2 linked regions of the Drosophila melanogaster genome follow. The protein of the gene in region 2 interacts with the protein of the main gene of each other region in a pairwise test. Each region holds a gene or a part of one and is shown on either strand. Other genes may lie near its edges. The genes, in order: BuGZ and Pdp1.

Evidence for each region.
Region 1: the proteins of Pdp1 (region 2) and BuGZ interact in a two-hybrid assay, tested with the Drosophila melanogaster proteins (one large-scale study listed by BioGRID).

Annotation. Positions count from the first base shown.
Region 1 is NT_033779.5:16,738,003-16,749,701, reverse strand, and holds the start of BuGZ (Bub3 interacting GLEBS and zinc finger domain protein), read right to left. Parts: upstream 6,298-11,699; 5' UTR 6,173-6,297; coding exon 6,138-6,172; coding exon of another isoform or gene 6,132-6,137; intron 5,943-6,131; coding exon 5,635-5,942; intron 5,579-5,634; coding exon 5,317-5,578; intron 5,013-5,316; coding exon 4,595-5,012; coding exon of another isoform or gene 4,550-4,594; exon of another isoform or gene 4,137-4,549; intron 3,476-4,136; coding exon 3,086-3,475; coding exon of another isoform or gene 3,074-3,085; exon of another isoform or gene 921-3,073; intron 647-920; coding exon 514-646; intron 436-513; coding exon 275-435; coding exon of another isoform or gene 95-274; 3' UTR 1-94. Other genes in the region: LSm7 (uncharacterized protein), read left to right, coding at 6,642-6,656, 6,716-7,033; ChLD3 (chitin and LDLR binding deacetylase 3), read right to left, coding at 7,477-7,755, 7,814-8,336, 8,398-9,130, 10,508-10,706; glu (gluon), read left to right, coding at 11,425-11,699.
Region 2 is NT_037436.4:7,827,108-7,838,806, forward strand, and holds the start of Pdp1 (PAR-domain protein 1), read right to left. Parts: upstream 5,967-11,699; 5' UTR 5,447-5,966; intron 4,721-5,446; 5' UTR 4,472-4,720; coding exon 3,280-4,471; intron 912-3,279; exon of another isoform or gene 569-911; intron 181-568; exon of another isoform or gene 1-180.

The sequences.
Region 1 (11,699 bases), on a different chromosome or scaffold from region 2:
TTGAAAAAAACTGACTTTGGTTTGATTTTATAAAAGAACTTGCTTGCTGAGTGCGCGCTGTTTGCTGTTTGCAATCATAAGCTTGATCCGTGCCTCACTCATGGAAAAGCAGTGGCAGCGGCAGGCTCAACAGTGGTGCCTGAGCCTGCAGAGCGGCCGTGGTCCGGGAAAAGGACCGGGCTGGCTGCACGTGCTGAGGATGCGGCTGCGGTTGCAGGTGCGTTGGCGGCTGGCCTGCTGGCGCCTGCAACAGACCCGGCGCTGCGGGCAGACATCATCTAAAGCGCGGCTGCATCATTTGCAGCATATTGGGATGTCCTTGCAGCATCACGCCCATTCCAGGCATTGCCATCGCTCCTGCTGGTAAGGCACCCGGCATTCCCGGTAGTCCAATCTGCATCGGCAGTAGACCTAAACCGCAATCATAATGTATATCTTTAAATATTCAGATCTTTAGATAGTTAGCAACTGCTGCTCCATTTACAACAAGCAATCGTTGATCTCGTCACATACCTGCAGGCATGCCGTGTAATCCGGGGCCACCGGCTCTAAGCATATTCCCACCGATGAGAGTTCCATGGGGTCCAATGGCCATGGCCGGTCTCAGCATCGGCTGCATAAGCTGCATGTGCCCAGGGAGCGGCATCTGGAGGTTCAGGACCGGATGAGGAGAGAAAGATATAGAAGAGCATGGAAAATAGATCACGAATTAATACTCCTGATGGCACTTTAGTTAGGTCTATATTGAAGCCATTGTACACAAAATTAGCTAAGTTGTTATTAATTATGTTGTTTCGTTTTTGTTTTTTTTTTTTCTTTTTTTTCATTTAAAATATTAATAAGTTGGTTTTGCGTACTTATTCAATAAATGGATAAGGTGTGTGTGTGTGTTTGGTTTTTTGTTGGTGGAAAACATTTTTGCATCGCATTACAAATGTATGATAGAGCAGAGACAAGAAATATAGAGTAGAATATTGAGTAGAGCAGAGAGAAGAGGCGAGACTTCTTCTCTTCTCACCATGGTAAAAACAATATATTTTGATTGTAATTAAATAGTTTGTTGATTTAAAATGAAAAGTACTTACAATTCGGAAACTGAACTGACGACGACGATGGTGTGGAAGAAGGTGTGAGGGGATTGCATTGCAAACCATATATGGTTTTGTATCTTAATAATTGAGTTGCACTTCAGGTAGAGCAACATAAAAAAATTATTCGTATTCGCACTTAAGAAAAAGAAATAGTAATTTGATTTACTAACCGGAGGCATGGGGTCGAGTTCAAGTTCCAATATCTTTCAGTTAAAGTTAGTTTCAAACTTGGCTAAGAGTAAGAGTTGGATGAGGATGAGGATGAGAGTGGGTTAGGATGAGGTCTACGGCAAGCTCATCGGTTGTAAATGAAATTGAAGGAATCGCGAACCGGAAGTCCTCTACCTTGGTTTAGCATTTGTACTGCGCATTAAACCAGACGAATGGAGTGTTAGTGTGAATGGAAGTGGATGTGGATGGTATGAATTTGGAATGCTTTTGAATGAAGGAAGAATGATTTCGAGACAGAAATGCGTGATCGGAAAAACATAAAACACTGATATATGGTAATACAATTTACAGGTCATAAAACATTTAGATATTATGCTTATGAGGTAGTTTTCAGGTTTGGTTTTTATATTGGGGGGTGAAGTATCAAGTTAATAGAAACAGAGAGAGAGACATATCAATGCGGAGTGTTGTCTTACTTAATTCAAGTGTATATCTTGTGGATATGAATTAATCAATCAACCAGTCAATCAATCATCAATCAATTAAACCAACCAACGCAGCAACCATTACGACAAATTCAAAGTAATTGTTTCTTTTTTTTTTTTGTAATAGAAATTATTGAAATGTACTTACATGGCTTGCAAAATAGTTTAAACATAACTCACGACTGTTCTCTCATTCACTATCATATTTGTAAATGTTAATTGTTTTTCTGTTTTACTTGCAAGGCAGTACGTACTAGAAACTCATTTGGGGTCGGGGGGTTTGATCTTTGTGGATTATATACGCATGGATGTGATATTGAGAGATAGAGTAGAGTAGGTACTTGCTTAGACTACATAATTACTTGCATAAGTACGACTAAGTAAGATTATAATGGAGTTTTTGGCTTTTACTTATCTGGTTGCATTGCGCACTTTGTATATCACATATCATTTTGCGGGGTGTGAGTTTTATTGAGGGAGTGATTAGGTTGGGTTTTGGGGGAAGAGATAAACTTGCTTGTACAAAAACCATACATACTGTAACTCTTTTTGGACCCTGCGCAACACTTTTGCAACACTTATCGTTTATCAACACTGAACTTCTGCTCTGTACTGCAATTGTAACGGTAACTTTAACATATTTTTCCAGTTTACAAGCTTAATAGGGTTTTTAGATTTATACATATGGCGTAAAGACGTAGTTGAGACTGTTGATCTTCCTTGTTTCTAAGCTGGGCAAAAGTAATGGGTTCGAAAAGAAAAGGGAACTTTAAGCGGTAGTGTTGGTAAGCGGTTGTAGTTAGCCAAGTGATTGTTTTTACACTGATGAAAACGTTAATTTGTTTTAAAGAAGTGCAAATTTCTTTTTCCTATCAGCTCCTAAATATTTTAATTTTTTAACAAACTAAATCCTTTATAAAATTAAAAAAAAAAAGTTATATTTTTTTACAAATACACACATTTTTTTAATGTATCCGTTGACGGTTTTAACATAAATTTTCAGATTAGTCTTATGAGTGTGCGTTTCGGTTAACCATAGATTATCTCGCTATAGGATCATTGTAAATTTAGAACCCCCAACTAATCGCGTAAACATTAGCTAATAGGTGACCAACCATGATGATGAGGGCGAAGCTTTATTTATTGGGTTAACCCACTCGAAAATGCTGTCGTTGGCTTTATGATACCATTCTAGGACACAAGATCGGTATTTGTATTGTGGTCTTTTACAGATTGAGATTCTCAGCAATTTCGGAATTTCGGTATTGTTAAGGCAAGTTCATTCTTTGGTTTGATTGCTCGCGTGGCATACGCAGCACCGCATGATTAGAGACTTACCATGCCGACGGCTGCGGCCGCCGCAGCCGCTGCTGCCGCACCGGGATTCCCAGGCTGTCGGGCAGCCTGAAAGCGCTGGAGCATCACAGCCCGATTCAGTTCCTCCAGTTGTTTGACCTGCTGCTGCGCCGCCTGCTGCTGCTGCACCGCCGCCTGTTGTTGTTGTTGCTGCTGCTGCACCGCCGCCTGCTGTTGCACAGCGGCTTGCTGTTGCTGCTGAGCCGCCTGTTGCTGCTGTACTGCCTGCTGCTGTGCTGCCACAGCGTGTGCCACATGCGCGGCTTGCACCTGAGCTTGGACCACGGCCTGGGCTTGCGCTTGGGCCTGCACCTGGGCAGCATGTGCGTGTGCGTGTGCCTGCGCCTGTGCCACGGCAACTAGAGCGGCGTTCTGTAAGAAAATGTTTGGAATCGATTGAATTTATCTCACTTGCCACTGGGAGGGTGTAGTTTCGGGGTCAACCCAAAAAAAATGTATCCTGACTGAGTCAGGTCTCTATGTACCTATCGTGGTAACAAAAAAATTTGCTTAAGGGTTTCAAAAAAACGGGGCTGAACCCCAAATGAAAAAATAGAATTGCAGATTGTAAGCTGCTGAAGTAACAAAAATTGACGAACAAAAATTACTAGATCATATCAAGAATTAAAGTAATCATCTAATTTAAGATTCCCTATTTAAAAATGAGTTTTTAGCCTGCGCTTGATGTAAAAAACGCTTCCTAAGCGTGTATGGAACCGACTACATAGATTTCTAAAACATACTAAGCAAGCTGGCTTCAAACCTGCCCCTATGATCCAATTAAATCAGCCCACCCGCTATAAAGAATTTCACTATTTATCAGTGGGCATGTGAATTGCATTTCAGCTGCTTCCGCTTTACCTTTAAGATACAAAACTAGCACATGTGTTGGCATATCACATTGATGGAGATTACTTTTAGGGCCAAGACAATGCGAAACCTTGCTTTTCCCTTCTATCGAGTTCTCTATGTGTTGAGGTAAAATGTTTTAAATCAAATTAATTAAATTGAAAACCGCCGTTTCATTTGTTTTGTTGCCATTAATTTTTTTTAATTAAAAATTGTACAGACATATATCATACTATATGCTAAAAAAAGTTTTCTTTTCTTTTTAATGTTGTTTCGTATTGTGTGATTCTCGTAATCTGTTTGCTCTCGTACGCTGTGGTCGTCTAAACGTAACTTCCGCTGTCGCAATTTGCGATCTGCGCAGAGTAAATGTATAAAAGTGTCCAGTTTGGAAAAATGGAATTCTGTTAGAATGCTGAATGCATTCTCTTAAAATGCAGTCGAAATTGGGTCAGGTTTTTTTATGTGCAATTACATTTATTCTTTCATTATTTTTCTTTTTTTGGAGGAAATTGTCTTTTTTACACGTCCTCGTTTCAGTCCGTTGTGCTTGTCATTTCCTGTTAATCAGTGGAAGTCGTTTCCGTCACGGTCTGTTTATTTATATTGACTATGGTTTCTATAACTATGATAAGAACTCACTTCCTGGGCCTTCGACATGGCTGCGGAGACGACAATCGAGTTAGCCATGCCACTGCTGCTATTGCTACCCGTGGGCGAGATCCCGGCCAGCGACGGGGGCGGCGGAGTGGTGGGAATCGACGTAGAGGGGCCACCATTGTTGCTGGGACTCTTGCGACTTTGTGGATTCGCCAGTGAAGCCAAAGCGGCCGCCAACCGTGCTTGTATTTTCGGTTGGCGCGCGCGCAATTCTTCCAGACTCAGGTCCTCCTGTGGATGCATAATCTTTGTGGTCACAGCAGCAGCGGAAGTTCCGCTTGCCGCCGGTGGAGCTGGAGGTCGCTGCTGGTGTTGCTGAGCATCTGGCGGACCACTTGGTGGTGCGCTGGATGCGCCACCAGCATGATTGGTGGTAGGCGGAGCACTTATGGTAGCATTACTTTAGCAAAAAGAAGAAATAATTGATTTACGTTAGTTAAAAACAAATTCTTAGGATTAAGCCTAATAATAAGTCATTTGACTTGCTTCACAACTATGTTTAATAGGGGAAAACCATTAAAAATGTGCCAATGTGAACAATTATTTGGAGTAGAAAGTATTTCACCTAAAATACCCCCAAAACTGAATTTACATACGAATCGTTTAAAAAAAAAAGATTATTAACAGGGCTCTACGTCTAACTGCTAGCTTTAGAAAAAAAAATTGGAAGGATTCTTATATGGTCTTCCCCTAACGATGCTAACCTGTACGCTGGAAATGTTGGCTTTTGTTGAGCCATGGCGGCGGCGTGGTGATGATGGGCCGCCGCCGCAGCAGCTGCCGCCGATGTTGTGGCCATGGCGGCTGGAAACAAAGGACGCGGAGGCATCATGTGCGGCATCATGGGCACTGGATACGGAGGCAGTGGCGGCATGTGCTGCATCATGCCCATGCCGTACTGCCCCAGCATGTGCGGTGGCATCATGTTCGGGGGCATCATCATAGGCGGCGGTACACTCATGGCATCTGCAATGAATGTTGTATAGCGATTTTGTATACAATACAGTTTGCTGATCACTTACATTCTACTTTCTTTTTGGCCACCGGTTCATCATCGTCCGAATCAGACTTGCCACCATTCTTCTGACGTTCGTGATCCCTGAGATCCTCGGCGGGAATGCCGTCCATGCCAAAGATTTCGACTTCAATATTTGAGCGATTGGGCAGCGAGTTGGGGACCTTGTCCACCGTTTCCTTGTGCACCTGCATGCAGTGTATGGATAGTCCGGGTCCGGTGTACAACTTCTTGTGGCAGATGTGGCATTTGAAGTGCTTGGCCTTCTGGTGCTGCACAAGGATCTTTTCGTCATCGAACTCACGGTTGCAGTACCTAGTTTTTTGCGTTAAGAGTTAAGGAAAATTCACGGGGATGCGGCGTTGTAGCCAGTATGCATATACATGTGTGTGTGTATCTACCCCCAACCCAATACCATTATATAAATGTGTGTGTATGTGCAGATACAGCGAGCGGCACATGCAGTGAAAAAATATTTATATCTTTGTTTTGCGAAAAGGATACCAGCACCAGGGTTTGGAGGCCTTCTTCTTCTTGCGTCCCATGATCCTAAGGTGGCTTTAAAACACTTAAATGTACAAAATCGATCCGGTAATTGGTAGAAGATAACAATCTGTTGTACTAAAAATTGCTCTGTCGTGGAAAACAAAATGGAGAGCCAGTCAGAGTGACCAGCATATCGATACAAATAAATGAATCTTATCGATATCTTAAACCAATATAATAATTATTATACAAATAAATTGATATGTTCGCCTCAATAGCAAAAGGTAAGAAAATAATTTCACAATGATGACAGTAGAAATAAGAGAACTTTGTTGTCATATTTTTCAAATAACATTAATTCTTACATATGTTTATTCCATTATTATCGATTATGTACCTCAAAAAGCGCGGCCCATAAGATTACTTCACCAGCGCCATCTGCTGGCTAGTAGCGCCTTATTTGGTGTATTTCTAAAAAAATATGCTTTGGTCACTCTTTACCAGCCGGCATTTACCAAAAACAGAATAATGGCAGATAAAAAGGTAAATTAAATAGAATAACTACATTGTGGTGCTTAATCATCAAAATCGTGACTTGTCAGGTGGGTGGCAACAATGACGGTAAGGAGAAGCGCCGCAAGGAGTCCATTCTGGACCTCTCCAAGTACTTGGAGAAACAGATCCGCGTGAAATTCGCGGGCGGCCGCGAGGCATCCGGAATCCTCAAGGGCTACGATGCGCTGCTCAATCTGGTGCTGGACAACACGGTGGAGTATCTGCGCGACTCGGATGAGCCCTACAAACTGACCGAGGAGCAGACCCGCAGCCTGGGACTGGTCGTCTGTCGCGGCACAGCCCTCGTCCTCATTTGTCCGCAAGACGGAGTCGAGAGCATCGCCAATCCGTTTATAACGCAATAGTCCAAGGTTTTGTGGCTGGGATGCGTTCCAGAATGTAGACTAAGTACAAAGCTCTTTTGGAAATCGGTTTAAATATATTTAGCGGAGACATACATACGTATAAATTAGTTCTTAAAATCTAATCAGGCCGCAAAGTACCACGTTTATGAGCCCGCGAAATTGTTTAAGCTTCTCCATAAAATTCAGAGTGTTCCGATTTTAAATTAATGCACTTTATCCTCTTCAGGTATGTTACGAAGTTATCTACGGGTTTGCTTACGGTCAGATTTTGAAAGCTGAATCATCTAAATATGCGTAATCCAATTTATAAATATTAATTTTTCTAAACAATTAAAACCTAAAATTGTATCAATCTTATCCAATTACTTATGGAACGCTCCAAACATTATGGATATATCAAAGCGCCTTGCGCAGAGCCCTATAGTGTCAAGCGGGCTATCACCTTAGTCCAAGCCGAACTCGTTGCGAATCCAGGGATACTGGGCAGGACACTCCATGCAAGTGTAGAAGAATCGATCCTCTTGCAGCACCCGACTACGCACCTTGCACACATTCGGCGTGTTGCAGACCTGCTCGTGGGGATCCAAGTCCTTCGGTTGGCAGTGCCAGGACTCGAATTGGTGCAGCTGGTTGCTGGGCGTGGGATGGCGCATCCACTGAATCGCCTGCTGGTTAGTCACGAAGAACACATCCGGCAGCTTTTGCAGATCGTCGAGGAATTTCTAAATGATCAGGAAGGAATGAAGATCTAGTATTATGGGTAACAATTCGAATATTCACCAGAAATGCATTCAGATAGTCGACTTTCTTGAACCAAGTCGAATGGAAATACAGGCCAAATGGTGCCCTATTGCTGAGGTAGTGCCTCTTGAAGTTGTGCGTGAGCATTCTGTACACATCCTCGCCGCTCAAATGCGGCGGACACGTGTCCACCATGCCGCACATATACTCGCCCACTTCCAGTTGGTTCATAACCAGCTCCCAAATGCCCGGATAACTCCTAGACGGGCAATTCTGATTTACGCCCGTGCAGCTGTGCGGCATCTTGTAGTCCAAGGTGTAGGGCCACAGAGGAGGATTCGAATGCGGCGCAACCATGGATGAATCGTACACGAAGCCAAACTCCTTCATCATGAGAAACTGTCGATTCCAGCCGACGCGCAGAAAGGGTACTCTCATGCCACGAATCTCCTCCATTCGTACCGCTGCGAACTTATTGATTATATTCGCCTGGCCAACCATCTCATCGAACCAATCCTCAATTGTGGCATTCTTGGACCACCACATCTCTGGGCCACGATGCCTTTAATCAATAAAAGTGAAATTTCAATTTTAAATAATTTACAGGCTGATCAACAACTTACGTTACTGAGTGCACTGCGATCTCGTGACCATCGTTCCAAAGCTTCTGCACATACTGATAGTTGGTAAACGGATGTGAAACGTAGAATGTGCCCTTAATGGGACACCCGTTGGGGTTTCGCCTGTGCTGTGTGAACAAAACCTTGGAGAACAGCTCCCAGTTATCGTGATTGATGGCATCGTCGAAGGTCAACAGTATCATCTGCGGAACACTCTGTGCCGGAAGACTGCCGGGTATCTGGGTGCCATCCTTCGAGCAGAAGCACTGCGGCAAATGGCACTTTCGCGGATCACAGGCACCAGCCGCATTCGGATCGTGCTCCACATCGCACCAGCCTTCGTCGGAGCCGTCGGGACAGTCTACCGAACCATCGCAGAAGTACTCCTGCGGCAGGCAGGTACCATCGGCGCAGCCCAACTGGTATTCATCCGCACAGTCGGCCATCTCCAGTAGTGGTTTTGGAGCCGGCGTCTCCGCGCTGACATCGCAATTGTCCACATTCGCCTTGAAGTCGCAGATCTGACGCACCACATCGAAGAGCAATCCCTCGGAGCACTTGAATTCGAACACCTCACCGTCGAGGCAGAGGAAATACTTGGCGCACTCGCTGTTCGTCCAGATCTTGTGGACCGGCCTGTTGGGGTTGCGGTAGAAGCGTGCATCTTGCATGCAACTGGCTGCGCCGGAGGTCGAGCGACGATGCCGAGTTTGGTTGCCGACTATTCCATCATTGTCTGCAAAGCAGGCACACAAAAAAAGAAACTGGGTGTGAGATAGCCGTGTGTAATTAACAAGGAGACTGATTACTGATTAATGCATTGACCCAAAAACGAAACCGCTCACGTCAGCCCAAAATTAGCCGCTTGCAGAAATATTTTTGCTTTTTTCCAGCTGGATACCAATCACGCACTGAAATGGGTGGTGCGCATAGTTGCCAATAGTAGTCAACTATTACGGAGCAAGACGACAAAAAACAAAAAAAAAACCCACGTCGCTACTTCAATTGAAACGAAAAGTTGGACAAACTTCAAGGAAATATATGTATATATGAATGTGTGTAGGCCACTTGCTCGCTTAGAAGTGCCTGAATTCCGAGGACCGTTGGACTTCGATGACCTTTTTGATTGGCTCGAGGCCTCAATTAACATTATATTAACCATAATGTGATCTTAGATGATCTTCCGCCGTGATTTAAACGTGATGGAAACAATAGTAAGACAACTAGTCACGAAGTACAGCTGGCACTAAACTAGCACTCAAAATTATGTTGACTTGCCATTTAAAAATATTTTTCCAATTTATATGCACTGGCAAACTTGGAAATGATTATGAATATTGAAAATATTGGATAAATATTGCTAGAATTGAGTGTAAACTATGGAGCACCTTTGAGATAAGTATAGTAAATTGTTGAACTTTTTCAAATCACTTGTGTAATAGGTCTTTCTGAAACTAACGCCAGCTCCACCCACTTGGAAATGCGTCCCAGCCATGTGCCACATTGCGGCGGACGGGTTGAAATGCGTTTGCATCATGGATCGGCAGCAATGGCCCGTAGCCGTGCCGCACCATATCGTAACTCAGGCGGTTGGGCAAGCGACGCGTGTTGGCCAAATGCAAGATGCGATCTCAAGATTGGAGATATGTGCATACATATGTGTGACTATAGTAGATAGACCGACTGACTGACAGTCCGTGTGTGTATATCTCCATCTCCATCTCGATCTCCATCTGAATCTCAATCTGCAGCTCTAGCTGAATGTCTAGCTGGGGCAGCTGGGCATTTGCAGCATTTAGAAAGTAAATTTATCATCTCCGCCGGCCAGAGAGGCCAAGGCAGCGGGTCAGGAAAATTTCAGCAACTGTCATGGGGTTCAATGCACACGCTCTTTTTAGTTTTTTTTTTTTTTTGTTTTGTTTTTTGGGGACGGGTGCGGGCATGTGGACAACCCGACTTGGCCCCACTTGGCTGGTCGTTTCGTGTTATATAACTCCTTCGATTCGATCGACAACTTTCACACCCAATGTGCGCATGCGCGCATGAGCATGCCAAAAACTAAATAAATTCAGTCGTACCCAATCGAAAAGCGAACAAAAGGGGAGAAAATTACCAATGACCAGGGCGTCCAGCGACGACGACATAATCATAAGCGCCACCATCATCCAGATGCACAAACTGGGTAAGCGGTGGGCGTTGGGAATTCGCGCTGTTGGTTGTGGCTTCGAGCGTCGCTGGGCGGAAGCGACGACCTTGACTGTGAAACCCGTTTGGCCATTTGCATTATAGGCATTTTCCCCCGGGCAGAGCATTTTTCAGCCTGCTTTCCACTTTGCCACTCGCGTTTGTGTTTGGCTGCTTGCTTTGAGCGCTTTAATCTTGCGCGCGATCGGAAAACCGAAGGAAAAACCGCCAGTGAAAATGGTTCCGCACCGAGCCAAAGTCGAGTTGTGACTAAAGTCGTGCGAGATGCAGCCAAGGCATTATATATATTTGGGCATTTCTCTGACTTGCGGATAGCGGAGAGAAAGCTCCGCGCAGTGGGTGTCTCGCTTATGTTTTTGGGGAGCGCAGAGCGCGCTGAGTTATTCATAATTTCCAAACTATTACACGGCTTTTTTGGAAATTAAGTAGTTTGCTTGCTTATTATGAAATTCATTTACTTTACGATGAAATAAATGTATTTCATTATTTTGCTAACTTCATCGAAAAAACTACTTAGTTGAGTTTTATTGTGATTTAATTAATAATATTTCATATTATATTTACAAATATCAGTTTCATATATGTTTTAGAATATTTGAAATTTGTTCTTAGCGTCGATGTAACGACTTTTAATTTAAATTCAAACTACAGAGCTGACAACTCGCCTGATTTATTTAACGGCCTTGCCAGTATTTTGCGGGCACATCAAGACGGTCACACTGCTGATAGCGTCCTATTACCATTGGCGCCCGAAAAAGCGATTTTGTAATTCGAGGATTTTTCCTGGATAAATCCACACGGAGAATTTACTGAGAATAGCGCACGATGCAGAAGGCGCGTCCCAGCAAGGGCACGCCCAAGGCAGCTGGCGGAGCCCGGCAGAGCGGCCAGTTTCGCGTACCGCAGCTAACTGCTCAGCAACAATTGCGGGCGCAGCAACAACAGGAGGAGGAGGACGCCGCCGTGGACGCGCTGGATGATGCACTGATCTTCGACGACGAGGAGGGCGGCACCCGGATCGGCGACATATACATACCGCCTCCGGTGCCGCCACATTGCTCCATGGAGAGCACCGGACCGCGCCTGATCATCTCGAAAAT
Region 2 (11,699 bases):
CACCCAGCAAAATGTTTTCGCTATGCGTTTTTGCTATTTTTCAGACTGATCGTCGATCTTTTTTTTTCTGTGATTCGACGCGAATTTTTATTGCAGAATTAATTTTTGTTTGTCAGCGAATGTTTGGTTTTTTCCTCCTTTTTTTTATTTGATGTTGGTTGTTGACAGTTTCGATAACTACTACAAATTGTTTTAAATTTATTTTGTAAATTTTATGATCTTAAAATATGAGTATCGTAATGATTACAGATTTTTTTATTTAGAATTCGTTGGTTTTAAATTTATTCTAAGCTAATTAATTTTAAGTAAACTTTATACTTTTAAATTAAACTTCAAGCAAGATCATAATAATTTACAAAATATATTGTAGTATTTTATTTTACTAATTTCTTGTTTGCAAACTTATAAACACCTTTGGTTTATTCCAAATATAAAATTTTATATATTCGATATATCTATGTGTTATACATAAACTTGTATATTCCTTTCAGGAATTTCACTTAACGATCTTTTGATCGCAAATTTCTTATATTCGGGAGATCAACAAATTTCGAGCACTGCACAATACATTTTAATCCAAGATGGGGCTGCTCCTAGAGGATCGATCCTTGCCAATCGAAAAGCTTGGGTGATTGGAATTCGGAATTGGATGAAGGAAACGAAAGTTCACAAGTTCGCACGAATTCGAAAGCGCCGCGCTAAAAACGAAGACACGCGTCGTATACGTATTATTTTATGGCTTTTTCTTTTTTTTCGCTTTTCGGCGGCTTTTCGTATTGGTGGTGAGTGGGGATTTCTGAGTTTTCGGAATTTGATAGTTGGCTATATATTTATGTGATTTGGTTTTTATGTTGTTTTAGGTTTTTGGTTTTTTGGTAGAGAGCCGTCAACCGAACCGGTGCCGCCGGACTGCGAACGTCGAGTGAACGCGCGCGTCGCCAATGCGATGAAACGCAGCTTCGCTGCTGAGCAGAGAAGCAGAGGAGCAGAGCAGCAGAGAAATGCTGAGAAGCGGCGAAGTGGGAAAAAAGCCAGAGAAACAGAGTGAAAAGCTAGGGAAGCAGCAGCGAAATACAAAAAACAAAAAAAAAACAAAATAAAAGCCAAACTTGAAACCGAAAGCCTGAAAGCTCACTCGTCCCGTCTTGCTCTTCCCCACTCTCTCTCACTCTCTTTCTCCGCATTCGCTTGATTTTTTTGCGCATTCCGCCTGTTTACTTTCTTTCGTGCCGCCTGGCAAAGTTCGCCGACGTCGACGTCGCTGCCGCCACGCTTGGCGGGAGCTGCGCTGCCGATGCCGACGTCATGCGGAAGCAGATTTTCCGCTGCCCACGAAAGCAGCAGCTTTGTTTTGAGTCAGTCACAAAAAAGCTTTGCGCTCTTCTAATTGAGTGATATTTTCTAAGCTCGAGTTGGATATTTTTGAAAAGAAGATCAAAATAACTTTTGAGTTTTAAGGTTTTTTTTTCTTCATTCTAATATCCCCTTTAGATAATGATTGTTAGTAAATGAAACAAGACAAAAGCTTACCATTAACAGTTTTAGCAAACCACAAAATTACTTGTACTCACAAAAAAGTCGATAATATTGAGTTTCGATGCTTACCTGTAAATAAAAGAGAGTGAAAATTGAATTAGAACAATGTTTTTTCAACAATAAGGAAAAAAAAAGCAAAATTGCATTTTTATAATAGTACGTAGATATTTGGTATTGTCAAGGGTGTCGGAAATTTCCCATGCATGGGGTAAAGGGGTGACCACCCACAGAGCCAACTGACATTTATCCATTTTAGCTTTCCCCACTCTTCCCACACATTAAAACGAAATTCATACAAATTATTATACATGCTGCCTTAAAAGGTAATTTTCGGTATATTCAATAGCGAAATTTGCACCAACCCCAGCGAAATACAACAAACAATCTAGAGGGAGAGATGATAGAACACCCACATCTCATTTGCCATATGCATTTCCATATCGTCAGCCATAAAAATCTCATCAGCCTAATTCCGAAATCTAATCAAACCAAATGTATTTCCCCAACGTTGACCAACTGAGGTCAGTTAAAAAAAAAAGGAAAACGGAAAAACCCATGAAAATTGGTGGCAGCTAAGCCGCGATTTTTGAAAGGATTTGTGCCAAATGCATTGACAAAGTAGATCAAAAAAGGTGAAAGGATGTGCCAAAAAAAACACACACACAAAACTGGTTGAATTGAAACCCTTTTAGGCCAGCCAACTAAATGCCAGCCATGTGGATCGTTTTCATGATTATTAAATGGAAAATTTAACGGCATATAAAGTAATTTTCCAGTTCTAATTGCCATGCATAATGAGAATTCCTATGGGCCAGCTACTAAGAGAGTCATCAACTGATAAGATATAGGTGTTTTTGTAAACAATACTCTGCTATATACCAACTAAATTTAGTTAATTCACTGGCAACGCAATTTGGCGTAGGTCGAAAAATAAGTAATATAATTGTTTATCTATAACACGAAGAAAATTGGTGAAAATAATGAAATAACCCTTGTGGTAGGCAGCGAGCCAATATACTTGGCGATTCCTCGTTGCAAAGATACATTTGCAAATGTATCTACATTTTGAATTCCATTTCCTATTCAATTCGAACCGTCGGCGACGTCAGTGAGTATTGTATATACGGGCTACATTACTATATGCATATAAACTATACTATATAGTTCAGCTGAGCTCACGTGTGCGCGGCAAGCTTTCTTGACTTTTGCGCTTTACAAGCTCGCAATGCGCAAAGTTCTCGGCCGCTGACGTCGGATGATATCAGTCCCAGTGGCCGGGATGCAGATAGAGGTTCTACAGACATATCGCACTGGGTTACCATGCACATACATACATATGTATGTAAGAGTATATATATCCAGACTTCCCAACGGAACGAACACTCATTTTCTAATGCAGCCTGGGCGAATATAGAATGGAAATCCTCAGAACTAGTCATACACTTTATCAGTTGTTTTTGGTTTTTCTCCCTTTAAGTGTGCTTTTTGTGTTCTCAAAACAATTTAGTTATTCAGAGTACTGTATACAACTAATGTTTAAGACAACCAAGAAAAGTTGAAGTATCTAAGCGGTAGAAAGATATATACATAAGTTTATATATATATACGAATGCACAGTACAGCTGTTAAGTAGCACTTTTCCATTTTTCTATAGTTAACAAACCATTTAAGGTCATTACTATATATCCAATATATATTTTCCAACAATTTCCCCCCCTTTTTTCCTCAAGTTTTTCACCTCACCTGAGCTGGCTGGCTGAAATCGCGCTTTCAAGCTGTTCAAATGGTTGTGATGCTCATTGGCGATCACTGCCGCTGCGACGGCATTTGCCACATGTTGCACGGAGGACACATTGTTGTTGCTGTTATTGTTGCTATTGCCACTATTGTTGCCGTTATTGTTGTTGTTATTCTGGCCGGGATTTCCACCATTTCCATTACCAGTTGCCGCCACAACAGCATTACCATTGCCACTGGCATTCCCATTCGATCCCTGGTTGCCACTTGCAACTGCAGCGGCTGCCGCAACAGCGGCAGCATTGCAACTGGCAGCAGCAGCTGCTGCAGCTGCAGCGGCATTACTCTGCGGATCCATGAAGGAGTTGCGCTGGTAATGGGGATTCTCCTGGTAAATCCTCTGGTACGTTAGCGTGGGCAGCGTCCACGAGTTGTTCGTCTTGTAGTGGAAGTTGCCGGTGCCGAAAATGGAGTGGGGGTTGGTGTTGCCACCGGTATTCCCGGCTGCAGCAGCAACGGCGGCCGATGACAGTGTATGTGCCAGCTGGGCGGCATGATGCTGCTGCTGCTGCTGCTGTGCGTGCTGCTGTTGCTGCTGCTGGTGGTGTTGCGGCGGCGGCTGCTGCTGCTGTTGTTGTTGTTGTTGCTGCTGGTGTGTATGATGCGGATGCAACGGGTGGCCGTGATGTTGCTGCTGATGCTGATGCTGGGAGTGCTGCTGTTGCTGCTGCTGCTGCTGCTGCAGGACATGCTGATGGTGCGCTTGATGGTGTTGCTGTAGGTGCTGTTGGTGTTGCTGCTGCTGTTGATGCTGCTGCTGTTGCTGATGGTGCAGGGCGGCGGTTTGTTGCTGCTGCTGCAAGGCCCAGGCATTCACGCCATTGTTGCTGGTGGCACCTGCCCCGCCGCCTCCTGTGGCGCTACTCTTGCCCGAATCATTGCTGCTAACACTGCTGCGATGGTTGTCCATGGTTCCCGATGATCCTGTCATGCTGCCATCATTTCCGCTGTCGCTGTTGCCGCTGCTGCTGTTGTTGCCGCTGCTGTTGTTGTTGTTGCTGCTGCTGCTGTTGCCACCGCTATTGCCCGCCGCTGCAGCAGCAACGTGCGAGTTAAGCTGCTGGAAATACTGCGACAATGTGGCATTCGCGTGCTCCTGGGCAAAGAAACTAGTACACGAATTCGTATCCGACGACATGATCACTGGTTTCAACAACTGGGTACGTTATTCACTGGGTTATCCTTCACTGGTTACGGTTAATCACTGTTTTCTGATGATCCTAGGTGATCACCTCCTTGTGCTGAACGTGATTAAATTTGCTGGTCAGCAGTATAAACTTTGGGCCACGGCCAAAAGTTGTGCGCATTGTCTTTACACTTGGGTTCACTTTAGTTTTTTTGTTTTTAACATAAACGCTTGTCTGTGTTATCTGAAAAAAATATTGTGCTTTTGTTTTTGAAAAACCCAGATTAGTGTTTGAGCACTTTGGTATGTTGCTGGTTTTTTATTTGCCAGTCAATTGATAGCCAATTCGTTGTTGCTAATGAACAGGTGATAGGTGGGTGAAAAATGTTGGGAATGATTCAGTTTTTCAGTTTTATTAGTGAGTATTGAGTATGATGGGGAAGCGATTTTGATAGCAACTGATAATGAATGCGCTTGTTTTCGTGTGGTCAGGGAATGCACTTTGTTTTCGTCTATTTTTGTATGATTTTTATTTAGTTTTCCATTAGTTTTTATTGATGATCATGATGATAAGGAATAAGAAAAGGCATTGTATAGTTGTATAGTTTGCGCTTTCTTTTAGTTCAATCAATTTTGTATAATAAGATTTTTGTGACGCTATAGAAATCTTAAAGTGGAATCAATAGGTACAAAGGCTTTCCGTGTTCTTTATGGAATTTTTGCAATCAAAACATTCACGGTCATTTATTGTTTTTGCTTCACTTTTAAAACGAGACAAACTAATAATTATTTGCCAATTAAACTGTATATCAAATCAACCGAGTCAAAGGCTTCCAATGTTTTTTTTTTTTTAACATTATTTCAACGTAAATTTGGAATATTTTCTATATATAAATCAAAACAAATAAATTATTATTTTCCAAATCAATTGAATTATCCTTTTCATTGATGAATAACTCTTCTTCCTTTCAGCCTTTTGTTGAATACCTTTTCTTATTCTCAGAATTTGTTGCTGCGCTTGGATATGAGATCGTTTTTTGCTTTGAGTTTTGCTGGTTCGTATTTTTCTTTTTGAAGTTTGTTGTTTTGTAGAAAAATTAAAAGTAAATTAAACTGTTTGAAATTAGATCCGTAACTTTAGCGCTGTTGTTTAAAGATTCTCGAGAGATCTCCGGATCTCTCGCTTTTTTCTCTATCTCTCTCTTTCACTCTGCCTCGTTCGATCTCTCTCTCTCTTTCTGCGTATTTATTTCTTTTTTAATAATAGTAATTATTCGAATGACACACACACACACACTTTAGATTGATTTCACAATGAACCCATTGCACTTGAAATTTGATAAAACAAAAATGACTTCCTCGATTTATAGTTCTTCTAGAACTATTTCTGTTGCTTGAAAAATCAATTTCAATTAATTTATTTTGTTGAGCGTAGAAATATTTTTTGATTTTCCCGCTCGAGTGGCGAAAACACGGAACGAGCTGCGACGATTTTCACATGAGAACGCGATGCGACAGAATGCCGGCCGAGTAATTTTCTCGGTCTCAATGTCCGTCTCTGCTTTTCCTCTGCCGCCGCTGCAGTCGTCGCTGCAGTCGACGTCGCAGTCGCCGCTACCGCTCTCTCAGCCAGCTAAAAATTGCAATTTTCTGCAAGTAAGTCGGCTTACGTAAAGGGCGGAGGTCCGAAAACAGTAACCCCTCTCCTACTTTGATAATTGTTTAACTGGCTTTTTTTTATCAAATGTTGGTAGCGCAAAATATTTGTACATGTACAACAAATATTTTTACATACAGCACTGGGAAAATGATTAGCATTACTACTATATTAATCAATTCAAGTGCCATAGGTATTTTTAGTACAGTTCTTGGTATATATTAAACAGTGTTCATATACGAGTACTTCGACTCAGATTTAGTATCAAATCTATTATAAATTATAATTCACTTAGGACTAAACCTATGTTATCTTCTTATATCTAATTATCTATCAAGAACTTAATAATATTTTTTTTTAAAGCAACTTTGTTTTATCTCAGTTATTTCAACATTACTTATAATATTCTAGTAACAAAATTTATTATTTTAAAACATTTTTTTCTTGCTCTTAAATGATTGCTATTATCTTGGACATAGCTGTAGTTATTTGTATATACTTGGGGGACTGGAACTGCGACGCCCGCTGAGGCGCTGAGCGCTGCTGCGGCCAAGTCACGCGGATTTCAATATGACCCAAAGCCCACTGTCTAGCACAGTTCTAAGCACGTGTTGCGGACACACCGGGCACACACACATACGCAAATTAATTGAGAGAGAGCGACAGAGAGAATGAGAGTGCACGTTGAACGACAAGCGCACTCAAAGATACACGTACCGATAGGGTGACAAATAGAGATACGAATGCAACTCAAAAGTTTCCAGTCGATTCGCAATAGAGCGCTATGTCTGTCCCCCTGTAACGGGTGTACCTATGGCCACTAGACTTTACACATCAGCTGGAGTGCGTGGCCGATTGGCCAATTGCCGTGCCAATATTCGGTTAATTCGGCACTGGTGCGTCTGCAACACGTGACGTATGCGTAATGTGCTCCAAAGGATTGCCTCTGTGCCACCAACTAATTACCGCTGCGTCATTCCCAGTAAGTAGATCCGATGGGGCAGAGTGGTGGGGGGGGGGGGTCTGAAGCTGAGTGCTTAACACTCTGGGCGAAAACCCAATGAAACGACGTAGTAGCTGCAACGGAGCGTATACTTAATCTGCATTCTATCGAAGGCGCTAAACTATTGCCGTAGGTCGCCGTTTTTCTTGGAAATTTCAAAAAGTATTCAAACTATTCGAGGGCTTAATCAAGTTTAAATAATTATAATAATTGCTCTCTGTTGGCATAGGTCCGGTAAATTTTCTTAGAAGTTTTGTATAATACACTCAATACTTACCCAATGATCATCGAAGATTTTATAACTATGAATCAGAGCAGTAAGCAATTTGAGATAAAATATAAAAACACATTTCTGATAAAAATGCAAATAAACTGAATTACAATTACATGGATTATTTAAGAAATATATAAATAAAGAAATATATAAAATAAATAAAATATATAAGACTTATTCAATTTGTAAGGTTCCATCTTTCGTTAAACCAATTCAAAAGAATTCCAAGAATATCCTCGCCATTTTTCTACTTGTTAAACTTGTTAAGTCGCCCACCTTTTTTCAGCCTTGTGCTATTCTTCGGTTAAACAAAACTCTTTTTTTTTTGCATTTGAGAAACCCAGTCAGCCCTGAAAACCCATCAATTGGCATAACCATGGACCATGTGGTAGAGCGAACTTCAGTCACCTGTTTTACCCAGGCGGGTCAATTCTGGGAATATCGAGTATACGCCCCGTGCAGCCAGTGACTATTTTTGGAAAGCAACAAGTCATCCGAAGCTCCGAAGCGAAGGAAAAAACGAAGTTTGCTTCGGGATCCAATAACAGAAGGATGTGCGGCAGAGCTTTGCTATTGGCCAGGCTTATATGCCAGTGAAGCCGAGAATAGGGAACCAATCCGGGAAAATCTGCCAACGTCGACATGGACAGAGAACGACGTCGACCGCGACGACAGCAGAGGCAGCGACAGCGGCGTTGTCAGGTTTTCTGTTTGTTTTGTTGTCAGTTGTTGTATTTCGTATTATCACGTTTCGCTACCACGTGCACCGGCGGTCTCCCCTTGCCAGTGTGTGTATCTGTGTGATTGGGCTACTGCCTCACACACACTTGGTACAATCAAAAACACACACCGACACACACCAGTGCAGCGCACTCACATAGATACGCCGTGGCGCTACGATGGATGAATGAGCCCTCAGAGAGCGCCAGAAATTGCTAAGCAAAACCCAACTGAGTCGAAGACACAGCTCTTGCTGGTTTATAAATAGCAATTTAAAGCATCGCACACACATTCACACATCGAATCAATGAGTCACACACACACTAGCATGGCTTTATTTTGCATCCGAAGAACAAAAAATACAAGTAGGAGAAGCAAAACACAGACTGCATAGATGTGCAAATAAAGCAAATTGTGCAGAATAAATATCGGAAGCGGAGCAGCAATCGGAAAGTAAACAAAATAATTGTTGCTCTTTTTTCAGGAAAAAAAAATATTTTTTTTATAGATATATATAATTCATTCTTGGTACTTGAAAATACCTAAATTTTTTTTGAATTTTTTTGAGCATATGTCGTTGCAAATTGAGGCACTAACACACACAGGCAGCAAATCAAACCTTCATTAAACACACTGTGATTTGGCGTGTTTGCATGGAAACCGTCTGGGTTCTGGTTCCATATAGAGGTATTATTATAATGGATCCGTTGGAGAGCGGGGTTTACGAGTCTGGCATGGCGACGTTGGAGTCATTATACACGTGTTTGCTGCAGCAGGTCGTAAATTAACATTTTGCTAAATAATTATTTAGAAATGTTGAAATGTGTAAACGTTTTTACGATAGCACGACTGGGTTATTAAAAGCCTGCAACCAATTGACCCAGATAGTGCAGCTACATTTACTTTTAAGGGTAAAATATATATAAATATTGTTAGTTAGACGGACTAACTTAGACATAAATCAATATTAATAAACGACTGAAATTCACTATAATATAATATACACCGTTTCGTGAACTTTGGCTCAAAAACAATTAAAAACATATAATACTTCATTTGTATAATTAAAAACTGTGTGAGTAATTAAAAGGCCACTTAAAATTAATTAAAGTGAAACAATACCCTTAAGTATAGATGAATCTGTTAAATATAAAATTTGATTGTTTTATCATTTTTTATGTATATATTTTGTGACTCCACAGATATCAACTCTTCAAGGTCTCAAACACGCCACACTCGATAATCCAATCTCCGTAGTTTTTATCTAAAGTTTTTCATTCATTGGCCGAAAATGTTAATACCAAACATGCGCCATGTCCATGTTTTTTTTTACGGTTTTATAGAACAAGTTAACGGAAAATAAAAATTATATTGCGGGCGGCTTATCAGTGAGAAACTTGGCCAACAGGTTGGTTTGCCGCTGGCCGCTGACCAGACAATAAACATAAATTTCATATCAACAAGCAGACACTTTTCAGCGACGCAATCAGGTGCGATGTTAAAGTTCAGCAGTCGGAAATTAATTTACGTAATTAAAGTACGGCCAATCGGGAAGGGTAGGAATTACCCTCCCCCCCCCCCTTCTTTTGGCCTTATCACCCAGCACTTTGGACTGGAAATTCGAGTAGCCCAAGTAGTGAAGTGAAGAAATAGCACACGCAGCTGACGTCGTCGCCTGGCGAAACATGTGACCTCGCTGGCAAAAAAGGGGGCGGTTAAGGCAGCAAAACAAAAAGCAATGAGAACGTCAGCAAACACGGAAATTTGATTTCGATTTCGATTGTTGTCGTAGGCTAAGGTGGTTAAAAATTCTAATTAATCACCAATATCCAAAGGAATCTCAGCAGGAAGACTATGCGCACGTGTTTCAGCCAAACGGTCTTGTGCCTGTGTATGAGTTCCAATGTTTTAGCAGGGGGCGGATGGGCGGAAATGGTTAGGCGGTGGGTGGTGTGTGGTGGGTGGCAGGGGAAGCTGTCAGACAAGCTGCCTTCAGCAAAACACAAAAACACAAACGGTATGCGCTCTCTGGCGCAACGAAAAGAGCGAAAGCTTCGGCCAGCTTTCCGTTTCAGTTGCATGAAATCCGCCGACAGAGGGCGCTTAAGCTTTTACTTTACAATGGAACAAATAGGTACATTTATGATTTAAAAATAATGTCGCTGAAAGCTCTGTAAATGTTGAACTATTGTTTCTTTATTTTAAATTTAAAAAAATACGTTTAGAATAAAATATTATATCGTTTCTAGTCAAAAATGCAAAAGTTAATTATAATTCAGTTGGTCGAAAAATTAAATAATCTCTCAAATCTTACATTACACGAAAGGGAATAAAGAGTAACCTTATTTACATAAGTAACCGAATTTGCAGTACTTTTAATACATTTCTTAAGGGCAATAAAATTAAATCCACCATATATGCGGTAATTAATAATTTATTGTCTGATGAATTCGTTAATAAGAACAATTAGTATGAAAACTAACAGAATAGTAGGCATGAATAACATCCACCCAAAAAAAAGTCAACACAAAGCTAAAAGAATTGGAGTGAAAACATTTTTTCGGTAGCGTGAATTCAAATTGCTTTTTTGTGCCCAAAAAATGTTGCGCTCGCCTTCATTTATTTATAGTTTTTTTTTTTTCATTCAGAAAATGTCAATGGTTTACAGCTGCCCGATGTCGGCGATAGATGGCGCTATATGACCAAAACATGAAATTGTTTTTGAAACAATATTTGGATATGTGGCCTGTGGACAAAAAATTAAAGCAGCTGCTCCAATTCTCAAAATGTAATAATTTTACTAACAACAACACTTTTCGTACAGATACACCCACACATTTATATTTATTCACGTATTTAGTTTCCATTTCATTTAGTTTTTGTGTTCACAAGAATTTTTAGTCACTTTGTCTTGTGACAGTTCTAAATGTGTAAAACATTGCTTAAACCTAAAATAAAATCAAAGGCATTCTCCACGCGCGTTTCCTAAACTCAACGTTGTCTGCCCAATACCTAAAAATACAAATTTTCATATTTAAATATACATTTCAATACTTTGCCCATTGAATTTTCGTTTTTTTTTTGTTTGTGGAAAAACTCACTCAATGACAGTTTCCTGCGTTTCGCTCTCAATAAGCTCGTAATGGAAATTAACCCTTTGTTGTCAGAAGTGATGCAACCGGGTTTTCAAATTGTCGTTCACATGAAAACTACTTCGAACTAGTAAAAATGTTGTTTGCATGTACGTATCATTTGCCGCTTAACCCCTCTCTGCCCCACGATTTTAGCCCATGAGCGGCGTTAATTGAGCTCTTTATTGTTGTTCCTGTTTCAGAAATTTTTTTATTTTTTTTTTTTGTAATTGCCGACGAGTGTTAATTAACTAAGCTGTCGGTTTGCATATAAAGTTGAAAGTGGAAACGAAATGCTATGGGTTTTATTGGAGCGGCATTGAAAAAGATGTTGATTAGGAAATTGTTTAAAATTCCTGGTTTTTTTTTAGAAACGATCAAAATTTTAAATCCTTACTAATGGCCCATTTCTGCTTTTTGCAATATTTAATAGTATAATTACATTTAAGTGTACT